2 linked regions of the Neodiprion lecontei genome follow. The protein of the gene in region 2 purifies or fractionates together with the protein of the main gene of each other region. This does not show direct contact. Links are inferred from orthologs where the notes say so. Each region holds a gene or a part of one and is shown on either strand. Other genes may lie near its edges.

Region 1 (6,510 bases), on a different chromosome or scaffold from region 2:
CGCGAGAGTCAGAAAAGCGGTCTAAAAGTATAGCCGCGTTTTTTACGTGAGAAAGACTCGCCAGAATTGGATGTAAATATGTGTAGTTTTAAAATATTTTTAATACCAAATGAATAATTTGTATGGTGCCATGTAGCGGGAGAAAAGAATCTGAAACCTCTTTTAGGAATGCACAGTTATACATATATTACGTTAATCGCGATATACATTACAGAGCTGCTTTATAAGGTAATTGAAATAAATAACAATTATGTTAATAAATACATTCTTATCCTAAATGATCTTGGATCAGATCTTTACTGCAAACAGAGGTTCAATCCACTTTTACTTAGAGTCAAACTCTGGCGTCCAAATATGCCTCAAAATAAGTGCAGAGTGGACCTCAAATTTCAGAGCAAAGTACCGATTAACTGATATTTCTTAACTTGGGTTGACCACAAAATACTTTTTAACACAGCTGCCGAAGGAATGATCAACGATATTTTTTAATGATTCCATGTGAATATTTTGGTTCAGGTTAAATGGGAAATAAAATATTGTGTGATGAAATACAGAGATGAAGGTAATGCATTAACAATCTCACGAAGTCTTACTTTGCGGGGTTTACAGGATTCATGAGACAGCGATTCTGTACCATTTACTCTCTCTGAAGCTGCGCGGGAACTGTGCTGTCTCTATTTATAAAGATTCTAAATGCTTGAAAACACCATTCCCATTTCCAAAACCAAATCTCATTCGATGCCTCAAAACCAACATAGGATTCACTCAGTGGTAATTCCAAAACGCTATGTGCCGTATGTTGTTGAAACCGTAAGCATATTACAAAACGCGATTTCGAGCAAACGTGATGAACAAATTCACTATGAATCAGGATGAAATGCAGCACAAAAAAATTGATACAAGCTTTGCACCTGTAAAGAACCAACCTTAACAACCATGAGGCGTCTGATCAAACATAAAGAACCGCAAACTAAATAAAATTAACAAAAGAGATCTCACGAAATAGCAAAATATAAATTTAACGATTTAAGTTTAACTCGAATTTTAATCTGGCACGTTATAACATCTATTTTAGACGTTGCCGTTTTTTTTTTTCTCGCAACTGTCTTAATAGTGCTGTCCACCTCGACCTCTTCCGCGATTAGAATTCCCTCGTTGATAGCCACTTGTACCTCGGTCTCCGCCCCATCCTCCTTGCACTCTACCTCTTCCACCGCCTCTGTGATACTCTCCACCTCCTTGATTATGACCACGGTAATCACCACGACTTTCATACTGTGGTTGCTGTTGCTGATATTGCTGCTGCGATTGAAACCTGTCTTGGTTTTGGCCAAAATTTTTCGAAGCATCTTTGTGGTCCCGATATCCACCGCCACCGCCACCGCCACCTCCGCCTCTGCCTCCTCTGAAAAATATTTTGAAACGATATTCAATTGATGTGCTTAAACAAGTATCACGAAGTCACAGAACCCCAATCCATGAACAAAAATACTGTGAGATCGCGTTTTACCTGGACGAATTCGGCCCAGCAACGCGGTCTTTTTGCCAAGATGGCATTTCGGGTGGAGGTGGTTGCTGGTCGCAAGGTCTTCCTCCACGATCTGGCACTGCCCCAATAATGACTTGGTTGACTTGGCTCCTGGTATTTTTTCGTACAGTAGCATTGCTGGTCTTTTCAACTATGGCTAAATCTCGTCTTGCGGCAAGTAAATCAGCAATACAAACACTTGGCTCGGGAGACATGATATTCCGTTTTTGTTGGTAGGATGCGTTGACCTGATCTTCCTTTGACCTTATATTCTCTGACCACTGTAAAATTAAGATTGTTATTAGTTTATTCCAAAATAAGATAATTTCATCAAATTTACTAGAATTTTGTGAGACGTTATTTAATGCTTTACCAAAAAAGATTGCACCGTGACATCCAATCTTTTGAGTAACATTTCCCTTCTGGTTTTATACTCGTTCTTGAATTCTTCTTGGAGTTCATTCAGCCGTTCCCATTGGTCGTTCGATAGCTCGCCCACAAATAAAGGCGTATCGAGTAGATCAGGGGGAGCCTGAGCCACAACTTCCTTCAACTTAGTAGTTAGTTTTGTGAACAGCATTTGTGCGCTTATGTTATCTGGAGGTTTTTGAAACTTCAATGCCAACAACATGTTTTTGAGATGTCTGGCTGTGTCGCTTTCGTTCTGAAAGTAAAAATAAAGAATGGCAACATGACAGTTATCCAATTAAGACGGAGCAGAATTCACTATCGATAGATTCAACTAGACATTGATAACAATTACAACACTTACAATTGTTACTTCCATCTGTTGATCCGCGTCAGATTTAAATGATCCTAATATCTTGCTGGTCATCAGCTCGGTTACCAGATAATCTAGTAAAACGAGTCTGTCGTACTTTGTACTCAGTCTCTGATTCACAGTACCGCCAATGAGGTTTTGATTCGCGCATCCTAATTCCTTGAGAAATGAACTTAATTCGAGCAGAAAATGGCTCGAATCTTCTGGCGTGGTTATAGCGTTTACGGAGTCATCCACCTCTCCAAATGCAGACAATTCTTCTGCCAGCCACGCCACCAGCTTAGTGAACTCCACTGACTTTGGGCCGTCTTTCAAAGCTTTGGACAACTCATTCGCGTCAGATAGAGCCCCGCTATACCTGCGGAATCAAGCACAAAATTTAAGTAGATCTTTTACGCGAGTTCAAAATCCTCTTTACAAACTTGCTGATTATCTTACAAATAACATTGTGAACGTTACTTTAATTCGGAGCTTCAAGTTTGGGTATCTTTTTCGGCTATATGATTATCCAATAATTTTTTTATAATATTGAACATCCTCATAACTTCGAACATATTAGGCTGATTTTCTGAGGAAACTCAGTAGCTTTGTTTCCTTACTCAAAAAAGTAGCCTAAAATATTGCACATGTGAAGTTAGTAATCGGCAATGCTTTGCATCAGCCGGTAACTGGTGTAACCTATAAAACTTGCCCACATACCCAACGTCTTGCAGATTCTGTAACAAATCGGTTTCCATTGGCACTGGCCGTTTGATTTAAACGGAACTTTTAGGAGAAATGTTAATAAATCAATCGGTTTAAGTTCATGCGAGGAAAGTACAAAATTCCGTGTCCGCTGTCGGAACTGACGACTGTCGAATAAGCACACTGTGCAAAGCTGCTGTCGAGCTTTTCTAATCTCCAATGGACCCCGTTTTATGTTACATGCCATCCCCACCATTGAACAAATTCACGACATCGGAAATCCCTCGATTCGGTGAAATTAGAAATAGACTGAACTCGACGACTCGATAATACATGATTTTCAAATGGTATTATCTGCTAATCCAATCGAACGTTCTAGAAACAATCGAGCATCAACATGTGTATTTAATCATTTAATATTTAACGTTGGTAAACAGACATGTTGATGATGAGTTGTGAACAATATGGCATGGCTAAAAGATGTGACTTTATACATTAGTTTGTACTGAATACGTAGAAATAAAATTATTTCGTGTATCTTATAATAGCTCAAAGGAAAACAACGAAGAGAACAAAAATTCGGGGAAGTCTCAAATGGATAGTAGATGGATCAACTCGATAACGTTAAGACTTGAATTAAATATGGGTAACTATTCTGACAAAAGCAATAATAATTGGAAACAAATCGTAGAGTATTAATACAATCGATAATTCTGACGATCGAGAATCAGAATAATGCAAGCAAGTTTAGATCTCAATAAATGATTCCAATGTAACACAGAAATTCAAATGAAACTGTTTCTTTGAAGGACTACGATTATTTTTTAACTTGAAACTGCAAGAGGTTCGAACTCAGCTGATAGATTATCTGTTGCAACAACCTTTGCGTAGCATAATCAAGATAGCGCAAAGTTTAAGTTTATGTTTTTCATGCGACAACTCGCTAACTCGGAAATGAAATTAACCAGGATTTAACAGATAGTTTTATTGAAAAAAATCTAATGACCTAATTGTGTATAAAAAAATATAACTAGACATACATATATGCTCAAGATTCTTCTAGACTTTGATAGGCCACAAATAACATCTTAGTAAGATTGCTCTATTCATTGGCAGTATTAATTAAAGTTTCACGGTATACGAGATCAAAATCTTTAAGATTTTCCAAGGGTGGATTGTATTTGTGCCTTTCGCATTGAGATTCAGGAATTGGTAGCTGCATTCTAAGTTTTTCCGATTGCTGGATGAATTCTGTTATTTGGTCATCCAAATTTGGTACAACGGTGTTATCTTTAATCTCCCTGCTCGCATTGTTTATCGCGTCCTCGCAGGCCTTGAATCTTTTTTGAAGTTCGAGTTCTTGGCGTAAAGCGGCGTTGAACATTGTGACCTATCAAAAATCACCCTCGATTAAATGAAACAAAGGGTACAATTTAAATTTATAACGAGTATAGGTTTTCCAAGTGGTATTTTACATGGAAACATTTTCATGAAATTTATTCTGACCCCTTCGGCTCTCTTTTGGAGATTGTCCATCTTGGTCTTCAGTTCTTCGAATTCATCTTCGCTGACCTGAACAGCTTGACCTTTATCCTCGTCTAATAAAACGTTGTCAGGAATTGCAATGAATTGTCGTACAATGTTCTGCAAAACAATGTCAGGTTCACAGTACAATTGTCAACAATCGCGGATGAAGAGGTGGCGATAATCTAAGACCAAGATGACCTGGATTTTTAACGTTTGTTAAATTTCTTAGAAGATGAAACTAAAGACACTGTAGAGGAATAATTACATTCAATGATTCCATGTGAGATTCAGCTCTGTTTTCATAAGTCTGAACCAAATCCTTAGCCTCTGTTCTGAGAACAGAAAGCTCCTCACTGCCCAGTTTATATTTACTTTCAATGGATTTGCTCAGATTCTGACAGACCGACCGTACCTCTTCCTTTATTATATTCTTTACTGAAACGATTACAATGCCAATGTTTCAACACGTAGAAGCGAGCCTGACAAGCATAGGAATGTGAAAGATTTAGATCGCGCTGATAATAACAGTAAAAACAGACTTGAAAGGTCGCATAAGAGCCTGACGTTATCTGCCGTACGTGAAACGGAACATGAGTAGAAACAAGTTGTCGAAAAAGTATAACAGATTAGAAAAAGAAACTGGCGAGGAGACTGAACGGATCGCAATCAGAATGGAAATACAGATGAGAAATAGGGTTTCAGTTGGCGGTTGATACGCGAAACGTGGGAATAAAGGCAGGATTTTCGTTTGGCGTGATGACGCGCGTTGATAGCGTCACAATTGTTGGACGAGTGTGACTCTAGTCATGATTTAAATCCACATGAAACCAGAGCACATTCGCCCGACGACTGCAACATCGATTCGTTCCGGGATAAGGCCGATAAAGCCTGAAAGCATTGACAAAGGAATTGATGGAAGTGACGTTGTCCTCTTACTGCCATCGTACGCAGCCCGGGAGTGAAAGCCAAAGAGCTGCATCTCGTACTCCTCTCGTTTCCGTAGCTTCATCTCCTCCGACGCCATAACTCTCCAGATTTATCTCAAAATTCATGCGCGGCGTGAAACAGCCGTGTTTTAATACGCCCTCGATTACTTCGCAGGATTTTACTTGACCGCGAGACTATTTTATCCCCGAGATTTCCTCCTCCGTTCCTTTTCCTCGATCGCTGATTGACGTCCGTTGACAAGTGAATATGGCGTCTCCGTCCCTGCCTCGGCGTCCCTCGGTCCTCACGAAATTCCACGGCTTGACGTCCGTCCGCGTTCCGAATAAAAAATACCAACCGGAAAACTGGCCCTCGTCGGCGACGTCGACAACTATCCTCTTCGATGATTTGATTCGCTGCTTGGAGCGTCTGAACGCTCTTCAACCAATAGAAATAGCTGATACTCCCTCGAGGGGGTTCCACTGTTGCGAGATTGTTTCAGATTGTTGTTTCGTACAAATCAAAAGAGAGCTGGAGTATCGTAATCACATTGGAAGAAATTCGACGTTGGTCCTAGATTGTAAAGAGACACAATGAAATATTTCCAAGTAGTATATTTAACATTATTACTATTATGTAATAAGAATGCGTACAGTAATGAGGACAGCAATTGGTACTCTAGATCGTAAATTACAATTTATCCATGTGAAAAGATTGAATTTTGCTCTCTTGTATGGGTACAAAAAAGCACGCGTAATGCGTAATAAAATTACATAATTGAAGCCGATCAGATTAGTGTTTTCTGCGTTTGTCGCGATCGTCCCTTCGTTGATCTCGGTCATCCTTGCGTTTTGTTGTAGTAGTTGTACTGCTACTGGCGCGTTTAGCTTGGGTCAAGAACTGATCAAGACCGAACGGATCTTCCTCGTCCTTTTCAAACTGCACAGGACCAGATCGCGTTGCGAACCTATCGGTTCCGCTGAATTCCTTGTCAGGAACAAATCTAAAGATAGAAGGAAATTTACGCATGATTTACCGCCCATTATGCTCTACGATGATCAGC
Region 2 (8,311 bases):
GATAAAGGTACACGCCGATTAGTGCGAAATTAAATATCATCGGTGTGAATCGTTCGATTCTTTACACAAAGTGCTCTTAAAATGGTGTGGACTTCTATAGAATATCTTCGGTGTTACATTTAACACTGCATTTATAGTAGCGAATGGTCGGAACCCCGGATGTTTCTGGACTCAACTGACGTAATCTGCTTTACAGCGAATTTTCAGTGACCGCGGCGTTGAATCGTCCCGAATTTTGTTCCTTCGATTATTTGATAATTCTTAGTCCGGATTTTGACTTTTAGCCGTCAAAAGCTGGCTCACCCAAAAGGGGACAAATTTTTCAACTATTAAGTTATTTTTCATTATACGTAAATTCCGCAAGCTTTTTCGTGATGTAGATAATCTCTAAAATTCTGCTGGCGTCGTATAGAAATTTCGATTGAAAAGCAAACAGGTTTAGGTATTTGTATTATCGCTCGTCAAAATGCCCTTTACCATATTTATCGCTTGATTCGCTTCAAGCAGTTAAATTCATTTTAACCTTAATTAAGATTGTAACTTTCCACTTATCAGTTAAAATTTCAAAAAATTTCTTAAAAAATACGCTCCTCTGTAAAGTTATTCATGAGAAATCAAGCGAGAATCACAAAACACTGCACCAACATTTCAACAAAGGTGAGGGATTTTTTCACGCGAAATTAAAATTTATTTCTGACACAATTACTCTGCAGGAATGGTAAAGTGAGTCTAAAAAATGAGAACGTATCGAATTTTTTTTTCATTCAAATCTGGTATAATTGATGATTGTAGCCTTAATCGCTTTTGGCAGTAGCAATACTTACAACTCTTTATAGGGAATTGTTCATAAATTTGCGAATCAAGAGTGAATGAAATTTTTGAATTTTCAGACAAATTTTTACGCACGGTAACAGGACTTAATCTACTAGCAAATTCCAATCAAGATGTTTGGAAATCAATTTCGCCTGTACACAGGCAACCGTCGCTACTATTATTTAAGTCAAAGTTTTATCCAGAATTTCCTCAATATATACCCGTTAATTATGCAGATACATTGATCCGTGTGTCAAAGATTTAATGCGTCCAGAGGCAGGATGTAAAAAAAGAGATGCCACTGCATAGGTATAAGATATTCTGGTAAATACGTGAAAAGCCAAACTCACCGAAGCTGGATCCTTGGATACGGTAAAACGTACATGCAGCAAAGTGGAACGGCTCAAGGTAGATTCAACCTCAGCCTCCAGGCTCCAGATTTTCCCGTACAGAAACAACCGGGAAGCACGAAGATGGAAATTTCTGGAAATACGTATACACTTAGGGGGAGATGTGGGCAAAATGGGTATTAGCGAGAAAAATGGGTCCTTGTACAATCAAATGGGATTTCAAAAATATCGACAACGTTTAAAATATTATTTTAGGCCGAAGACAAGAAAATTGCGTCGTCGAAATTGGTCTAACGTTATTCCTTTCTTAAGGGGCCTATTTGTCGAGCCTCTTCCCTACATATTACTAATTGGACCATGTTTTACAACTCAATATATAGCCTATATTACTCGGGCAGACCTAAGAAACAATTTGGTTCAAGCCCCATGTAAACCGGTTCACTGATTCTTGACTGTATCGGTAACAAAGTGATAAATAGACAAAGGATTTTCTACATTTTAGTATAGATACACCGCATAACCGCCGGATATATGGGTATTTCAGGTACATATAGCAGTGATTTTGTATAAACAAGCGACGGGGTAAGAATGTGAAATTGATGCGAACATAACAAATAGAGCTCGAGTTCAATCATACCTGAATAACGCACTGCCACCCACTAAGCAGGCACTTCCTATTCTCCCACAGATTTGATCCACCATCCTCGAGCCAGCGGGTAAAACTATTTCGAATAATTGATGCTGCAAGATGCTCGATTACGTGACGATTCGCTTTAATTCTTCTCCCTGAAACGCGAACAGCATCGTTCGATGATAATAATATACGCAGTTCAGTCGAGTGTTATTACTGCGCGTTCGAATGTTTGTTTTTGTTTTCAGCTCACTTCGCTCAATTCTTATGGGCTGGCAAAAACTCATATGCCTCTTAATTAGATAAACAGCTACTCATATATATGTCTTTTAGAGAAGTTTTATACACACTTACTCAGTTATTCCATTTATGCGAGCACGTTGAGTCTCCCGTGTCATTTTGTTGCTTGGATTGCTTTTTCGCAGCCGAATTGAAAAGATGAAAGCCTCTCTGACGATCCCTGATACCCGAAAGACCGAAAATTCTAGCATCAAACAATTGAGCATCGGAATCATTATACCACGATTGATCGAGAGATTAACGAGCTTCTTCCGCGACGAATAAACCAGACTGTTATTGACACTTGAATAGAAACACCCTCGTGCACGGTAGTATTTAATCAAAAACATCTCACGACCTGACGAGATATACATTCATATTCGACGGCGCCGTTTCCTTGCGGCAAATGTAGTTCGAGTAATCGTAAATAATTCGAGGTGACACCGTTTGTTGGCTTCAACTGTGGCGCTACCGTGCGGCGGAAATCGAAACTTTTAAACGAAGGAGTGTGAAGCGAGCCAACGACGCTTGTTTCTGATTAGTTGAATTTCAAACGGTCAAACTCAAAACTAGGCGGTTGTATCTTGTATAGTGTAAGAGTTCGGAGATCGTCAACAACGCGTGCGAGCTATGTCAATCGGTATTTACAACGATATATTAAAACTGGTGCGTTTTACAGCGGTTAAGTGAATTTGGTGGACGCAGGGTGAGTTTTTACCATTATTTTCTCGTCTTGTGTCTCGGACCAACGATGCCTAAAACTACAGACTCACAGCCGGCAGCGAGTCCGATTCAGTCAGTTTTTAACATCCTTCGTTTTCTCCTTTTTTAGATCAAATTGGTACTTGGCCACTGCAATTTGGTAGCCTCACGCTGTCGAAATGACAACTTCACTGTCGATATTGGCCTCTCACGATGAGCTGGTACGTTGTACCAATGTACTCGTCAACGGATCGTGCGAAGAAGGTTAGCTCACTTGATCGACGCCTCGTTTACCCAAAGAAATTACCCCCCACGATCATACATTCGGAATAAATTTTTACGTCACTTTATTCTGAGACGAACATTCTTTTCTCACTAACAGAGAGCCACGAATAATTCATCAGCGGAGTCTGTGCTCTAGTTACTCTTGCAGCAACATCTGATATCTTCAGAGATAGCTGCTTCCCGTATACCCTTATCTCTCATTCAGCCCTTCATTCTTTTAACCCAGTCGAAGTTTAGAAAGTTTCAACTGTGCTCAGAATCTAAGAGAAAGTCTATGCTTGTATGAGAAAGGTATCGATCTTTCAATGTTTCAGAATTTCTGCGCTTTGCTATCAACCAGGAAGAGATGCGACAAAAATGGTTGGCATCTGTACAGGAATGCCAGCGACTTCATTCTGCTTTGGAAAAATCTCATTTAGAGTCGGCAGATCTAGAAAGAAAATTAAGTCATGCTCGTCGACTTCTTGACGAGGAAAAACGACGACGACGTATCGTTGAAGATCAACGTAACTCGTTGGTAATAATAAATTCAACAACTAGTTGTGAACAAAATACCTGAACATGTATAAGTATCTATTAAATGATGAAAATTCGATATAATTGCCAAATATTCTATTTACACAGGAACGACAAATATCCATGGTTCGTGACTTGTTCCTACACGATGGAGGTAGAAACCTGAATGATGAAACACGTGAAAAGTTGCAATTTCTCAATAATACAACATTAAATAATCGCAGCAGCAACGTTCATCTAAAAGACTTGCATCACGCTGATAAGTAAGAGTCTAAATTGCATCGTTAGGAAAGTCAGAAGACTTTCAAAAGTCTCTGTCTTAATTTTAACCCATCGTTACTTTTTTTTCTAGGCTTAATACAATAGCAGAATTGGATTCTACCGGGTCTCTGCTTAGCGATCTGAGTTGTTTTTCAAAATCGGAGGACGACTTGGACGCGAGTGTCATGCTCCAGCAAAATCAAAAGAAACGGGAATGGAAAGAGCACAGACCAAGCGGGGAATATTCAACCAAGAAAAGGCGCAGCAGCATTCAGAAAGCTGTAGACTTGAATACATCAGATCGGATAGTAGCGACAACTACTGTTGTTCTGCCCAAGGATGGACCCATCACGGCGTCTTCTGTGATTGAAGCAAAGCCTGGGAATGAAAATGAAGATCCAAATACTCAAATAAAACAGAGCCCCCACAAATATCGCACAAGTGCTGACCGCTCCAGACAAAAAAGTTCACACATGGATGCAAAAAATCCATTGATGGACGTGGAGGTGGGTCCTTTTTTCTTAATTTTAGGAGTTGAATGAAATAGGATGGTGAAAGTAGAAAGTGGATTCAGCAAACACTTCTAGTCATTGAATAAAATCCGTGTATATATGTTTGCATACAGCCTTCAGCTCCAAAAGCCGACATCATGACTTCCGGTTCAGATTCCGAAGGTGTATTTAAGCCCAGCCCTAATATCGGTGGATATACTTTGAACATTAAATCGTCCAGGGGTCACACTTTCACGGCAAAGACTGTTATCAAGCCAGAAGTATGCACTCCTTGTGGCAAACGGTGAGGGAACGATGTTTTGTGGTACAATTTTTGATTATCTATTACGAAGTGTGGTCGGCAATTTGATTCAACTACAACTTTATCATTGCAGTATTCGATTCGGACGCGTAGCTTTGAAATGCAGAGAGTGCAGAGCTACTTCTCACGCCGAATGTAAAGACCTAGTACCATTACCGTGCGTACCTGCAGGAAATACTCCGACTTTGCGTGGTATTTCTGTAAGTTGTGAACAACATTTAGTTTTTCAATTCAAAAAAAATATGAAATCCATTCAAGGTGAGCAATTTTTGCTTTCCTAGGGTACAATTGCAGATTATACCCCCATGATACCACCCATGGTGCCGTCGCTGGTGGTACACTGCATAAATGAGGTCGAACTGAGGGGAATGGGCGAACAAGGTTTATACAGGGTGAATGGCGGTTCGAGCGACGTTAAATGCTTGAAGGACAAATTTTTGAAAGGAAAGGGTGCACCCAACCTTTCCGACATTGATATACCGACTATTTGTTCAACTTTGAAAGATTTCTTGAGGTACATTTGTCGGATTATGAAAAAGATTAAACCACAACAAATAACTTTATCAATTCCTTGAGCAATGCAGGGTATTTTACTCACAATTTTTCTTTCATCTTAATTCAGAACTCTTCGCGAACCTTTGATCACAGTTGGACTATGGGCAGATTTTGCAAGAGCGACGGCCATTTCTGATAAACAGGATGCTGATGCTGCTCTTTACCAAGCGATATCGGAATTACCGCAACCGAATCGCGATACATTAGCATTCTTGATTCTCCATTTGCAGCGAGTGTCGAGCAGTCCAGAATGCAAAATGCCGATCACTAATCTTGCCAAAGTATTCGGACCAACTCTTGTCGGTTATAGCTGCCAGGAACCATCTCCAAACTCAATGCTAAGTGAAACTAAAAGCCAAGTTGCAGTAAGTATCTTTCATTGGATTCAAAATATCCTCAGAATATTTTAGAGTAATAATACTTGCGTTCTTTTGCAGATAGTGGAAAGTCTGTTGAAGATTCCGTCAGATTATTGGGCAAATTTTGTCAACTCCGAAGGTCTAAACGGAGTGGGAACACCGAAAACTGGGGAACTTAGACACACTCCGTCTACAGAGTCACTTTTAAAACGAACAGCATCTAGGGGATTTTTCAATACTCCTATCAGTTCAAGGTATTCTACAATCAATATATAAAAAATATTCAACTACTGATCGTTACATTCACAGATTAAATACTATAAATCCATAATTTATTTCCAGCCGAACGTTCATGAGAAAAAACAAAAAATACTTTGCGACACCACCATCAAAAAGCGGGTACTAAAACGGTGAATGGCTTTACAATTCTTTTTTTCATCCTCTTTTTATAAATTACAGGTGTAATAGTTAGCCTAGAATAACCGTATATTTAAATTTTTTTCCAGCAGAATTTTACTCACATAACAGGTACTTTTTAATTTGATAATATTTTTCAATTCTGCATCCATTCATCTGAAGCTTCTTTGATCTTTTGCTTTGTAGCTAGTAAATCTTACGAATACTTAGAATTAAAATATCAAATAATGACATATTTTGTCAAAGCTATAAGCTAAATGAAATGCCTTCTTTGAGCTGCATGCGGCTCGTTTTTGGCATAATTAAAATTGGATAATTACTTTTGATAATATGAGCTTACATATCGGCGCTAGTTTCTCATGAGGACTAAAATCCGTTTCATAGTGTTGGAATGATAATTATTTTTCAATTACAAATTTAATCAGTGTACAATTTAGCTCTATTTTTTTTCTGTTCAACTTTACGCATAAGTATTATAACACAAGTGATCAGATCACTATTGATGACAGCGTGTAAATTAAAAATCCACTAATCACAATGTAATTTTTTTTCTCCATACAAATTATCTGGACCTGTCGAAAGAAATACTTATTTATTTTTCAATACAAAATGTCTAATAAAATGGATAACTTTGTAGTTAATATTAATATTAATTAATGTATTACTTTAGACGTTACAAATAAAAGATTTAAACCTGACTTTCTTATATTGTTAATATTATTCTTAATATTCTGTAAATTTCACTTTTGTACAGTAACGGCAAGAATAGGAATTTCAGGCTGTATAGGCCCACTTAAAACTACCACGATTAATCCAACTTTTTTTCATATGTATTTCTTAGTTGCTCATTGAATCATTTTAAACTGAGCAAACCAGCACTCGTATAGTATTTTGAAATGTACAATAAATTCCCGAAAACAGATAGCGAGGCCATTGAATTTCAGAACACTGGGATGTGCTTAATTACTCGGTTCGGGAACACGTTTTCTCTTTGAGTTCCCAGCATGACTCCCAGTACTGTCTTAATCTGTTGTCCGCATTCGAACAAAAGTTTCTAAAATCTTGAATAATTTTTTTTTGAAACAACTCATCCCCGGTCGCTGATGTTGATAACGATTTCCACTTGCGACTGACCATATGATTCCATGACCACAAAAAGCCAACCTGAATAAAAAAATACGAACAGTTGATATCAATTCATATAGAAAATATTTACATTAAGTATATATACCGACCCTCCTGTCCATACTGTAGTCATCTTTATTCTTCCCACTGACATGCCTTGTAATATATGCTTCGTGCGGACTAGATTGATCAGGATGGACTGGATATCGTTTCTGGCCCGTTATCCGTCTGATTATATTCGTATCCGTTCGTGGTCTGGCTCGAATACAAGATGTCGACGGTACGAGAATAAATGCATTGCCAGTAACGTGGACGTATTGATGATCATTTTCAGTGCCCTCCACCAGACACGGTACAAAACCGAACCTTTGCACTATGGCTTCTTGGAAGAGGAACAACCGTTGAGTGTAGGTGTCTTCCCGAAACTCTGTTGCAAACACATTGAAAGTGAAACATCAGATAGCTATTGTTATACAACAAAATTTGATACCACGTGTTCAAATTTCAACAAACCATCGAATAGATACGGTTTGTTGGTCATCAAACATTCCGTGTGTAGAGGTATGAAGATTGGGCCCCGAAGAGGATCACTTTTCAGAGTGAAAGGTAGCGCAAGCAAATCACTGGGTATCGGAACCATTTGTATTCCACACAATTGCGCCTTTCGTTGCCACCCGAATATCTGAATGATTCAAAACCGAAAAGATGACCATTGATTAATCGCACCGACGTCTCTTTTACTTTCAATAATTAAATTGGATAACTTACAAGGTCAGCAACTATACTCCCCGAGGATGCGACCCACTGGACAACCAATTCGTAAGAATAGTCCGTCTTGAATAATGACTGATATCTGAGGTGTCCCCATTCTATTCTATCGCTTTTATTGTTTATGTCTATATCAAGATGAGTGTGCTTGTAAGGAGAAACTGGCGCTAAGCAAAAACATAAAGAAAAAAATTCTAAATTATTTAGTTTTCAAATTGACGAATTCTTTCTGTAAGATATATAGGGATACGTCCATAACGTAAGCTATTGTAGCGTCAATGCTCACCAGTCCGTTCACGATCCTCCGTCACGAATACAAGATCCGAGTCGTCACGCAGAAAAACAGGAACACTCGATTCGTCTATGATATCGCAACTGGGTATAGATATAGGTGATGATATGTTTGAAATTTGCGTTGGAGCAGTGGGTTCGCACCA

The links. The genes of interacting proteins can lie anywhere in the genome.
Region 1: the proteins of rac GTPase-activating protein 1 (region 2) and protein FAM98A purify together in Homo sapiens (co-immunoprecipitation; 3 studies listed by BioGRID and IntAct, with this or other methods). This does not show direct contact. The link is inferred for Neodiprion lecontei from reciprocal best matches to the Homo sapiens genes RACGAP1 and FAM98A.

The regions. Positions count from the first base shown.
Region 1 is NC_060266.1:24,791,817-24,798,326, reverse strand, and holds protein FAM98A, read right to left. Parts: upstream 3,285-6,510; 5' UTR 3,047-3,284; coding exon 3,009-3,046; intron 2,668-3,008; coding exon 2,301-2,667; intron 2,193-2,300; coding exon 1,902-2,192; intron 1,810-1,901; coding exon 1,511-1,809; intron 1,406-1,510; coding exon 1,108-1,405; 3' UTR 1,057-1,107; downstream 1-1,056. Other genes in the region: DNApol-eta, read left to right, coding at 1-50; protein MIS12 homolog, read right to left, coding at 4,096-4,383, 4,500-4,637, 4,786-4,955, 5,457-5,544; puff-specific protein Bx42, read right to left, coding at 6,240-6,450. UniProt on the Homo sapiens protein: Positively stimulates PRMT1-induced protein arginine methylation. Involved in skeletal homeostasis. Positively regulates lysosome peripheral distribution and ruffled border formation in osteoclasts.
Region 2 is NC_060263.1:5,501,205-5,509,515, forward strand, and holds rac GTPase-activating protein 1, read left to right. Parts: upstream 1-2,598; 5' UTR 2,599-2,779; intron 2,780-2,905; 5' UTR 2,906-2,954; coding exon 2,955-3,039; intron 3,040-3,374; coding exon 3,375-3,577; intron 3,578-3,684; coding exon 3,685-3,839; intron 3,840-3,928; coding exon 3,929-4,343; intron 4,344-4,462; coding exon 4,463-4,632; intron 4,633-4,723; coding exon 4,724-4,850; intron 4,851-4,931; coding exon 4,932-5,164; intron 5,165-5,272; coding exon 5,273-5,570; intron 5,571-5,642; coding exon 5,643-5,818; intron 5,819-5,906; coding exon 5,907-5,970; 3' UTR 5,971-5,974; exon of another isoform or gene 5,975-6,073; 3' UTR 6,074-6,910; downstream 6,911-8,311. Other genes in the region: GATOR complex protein Iml1, read right to left, coding at 6,945-7,145, 7,217-7,533, 7,620-7,788, 7,875-8,041, 8,161-8,311.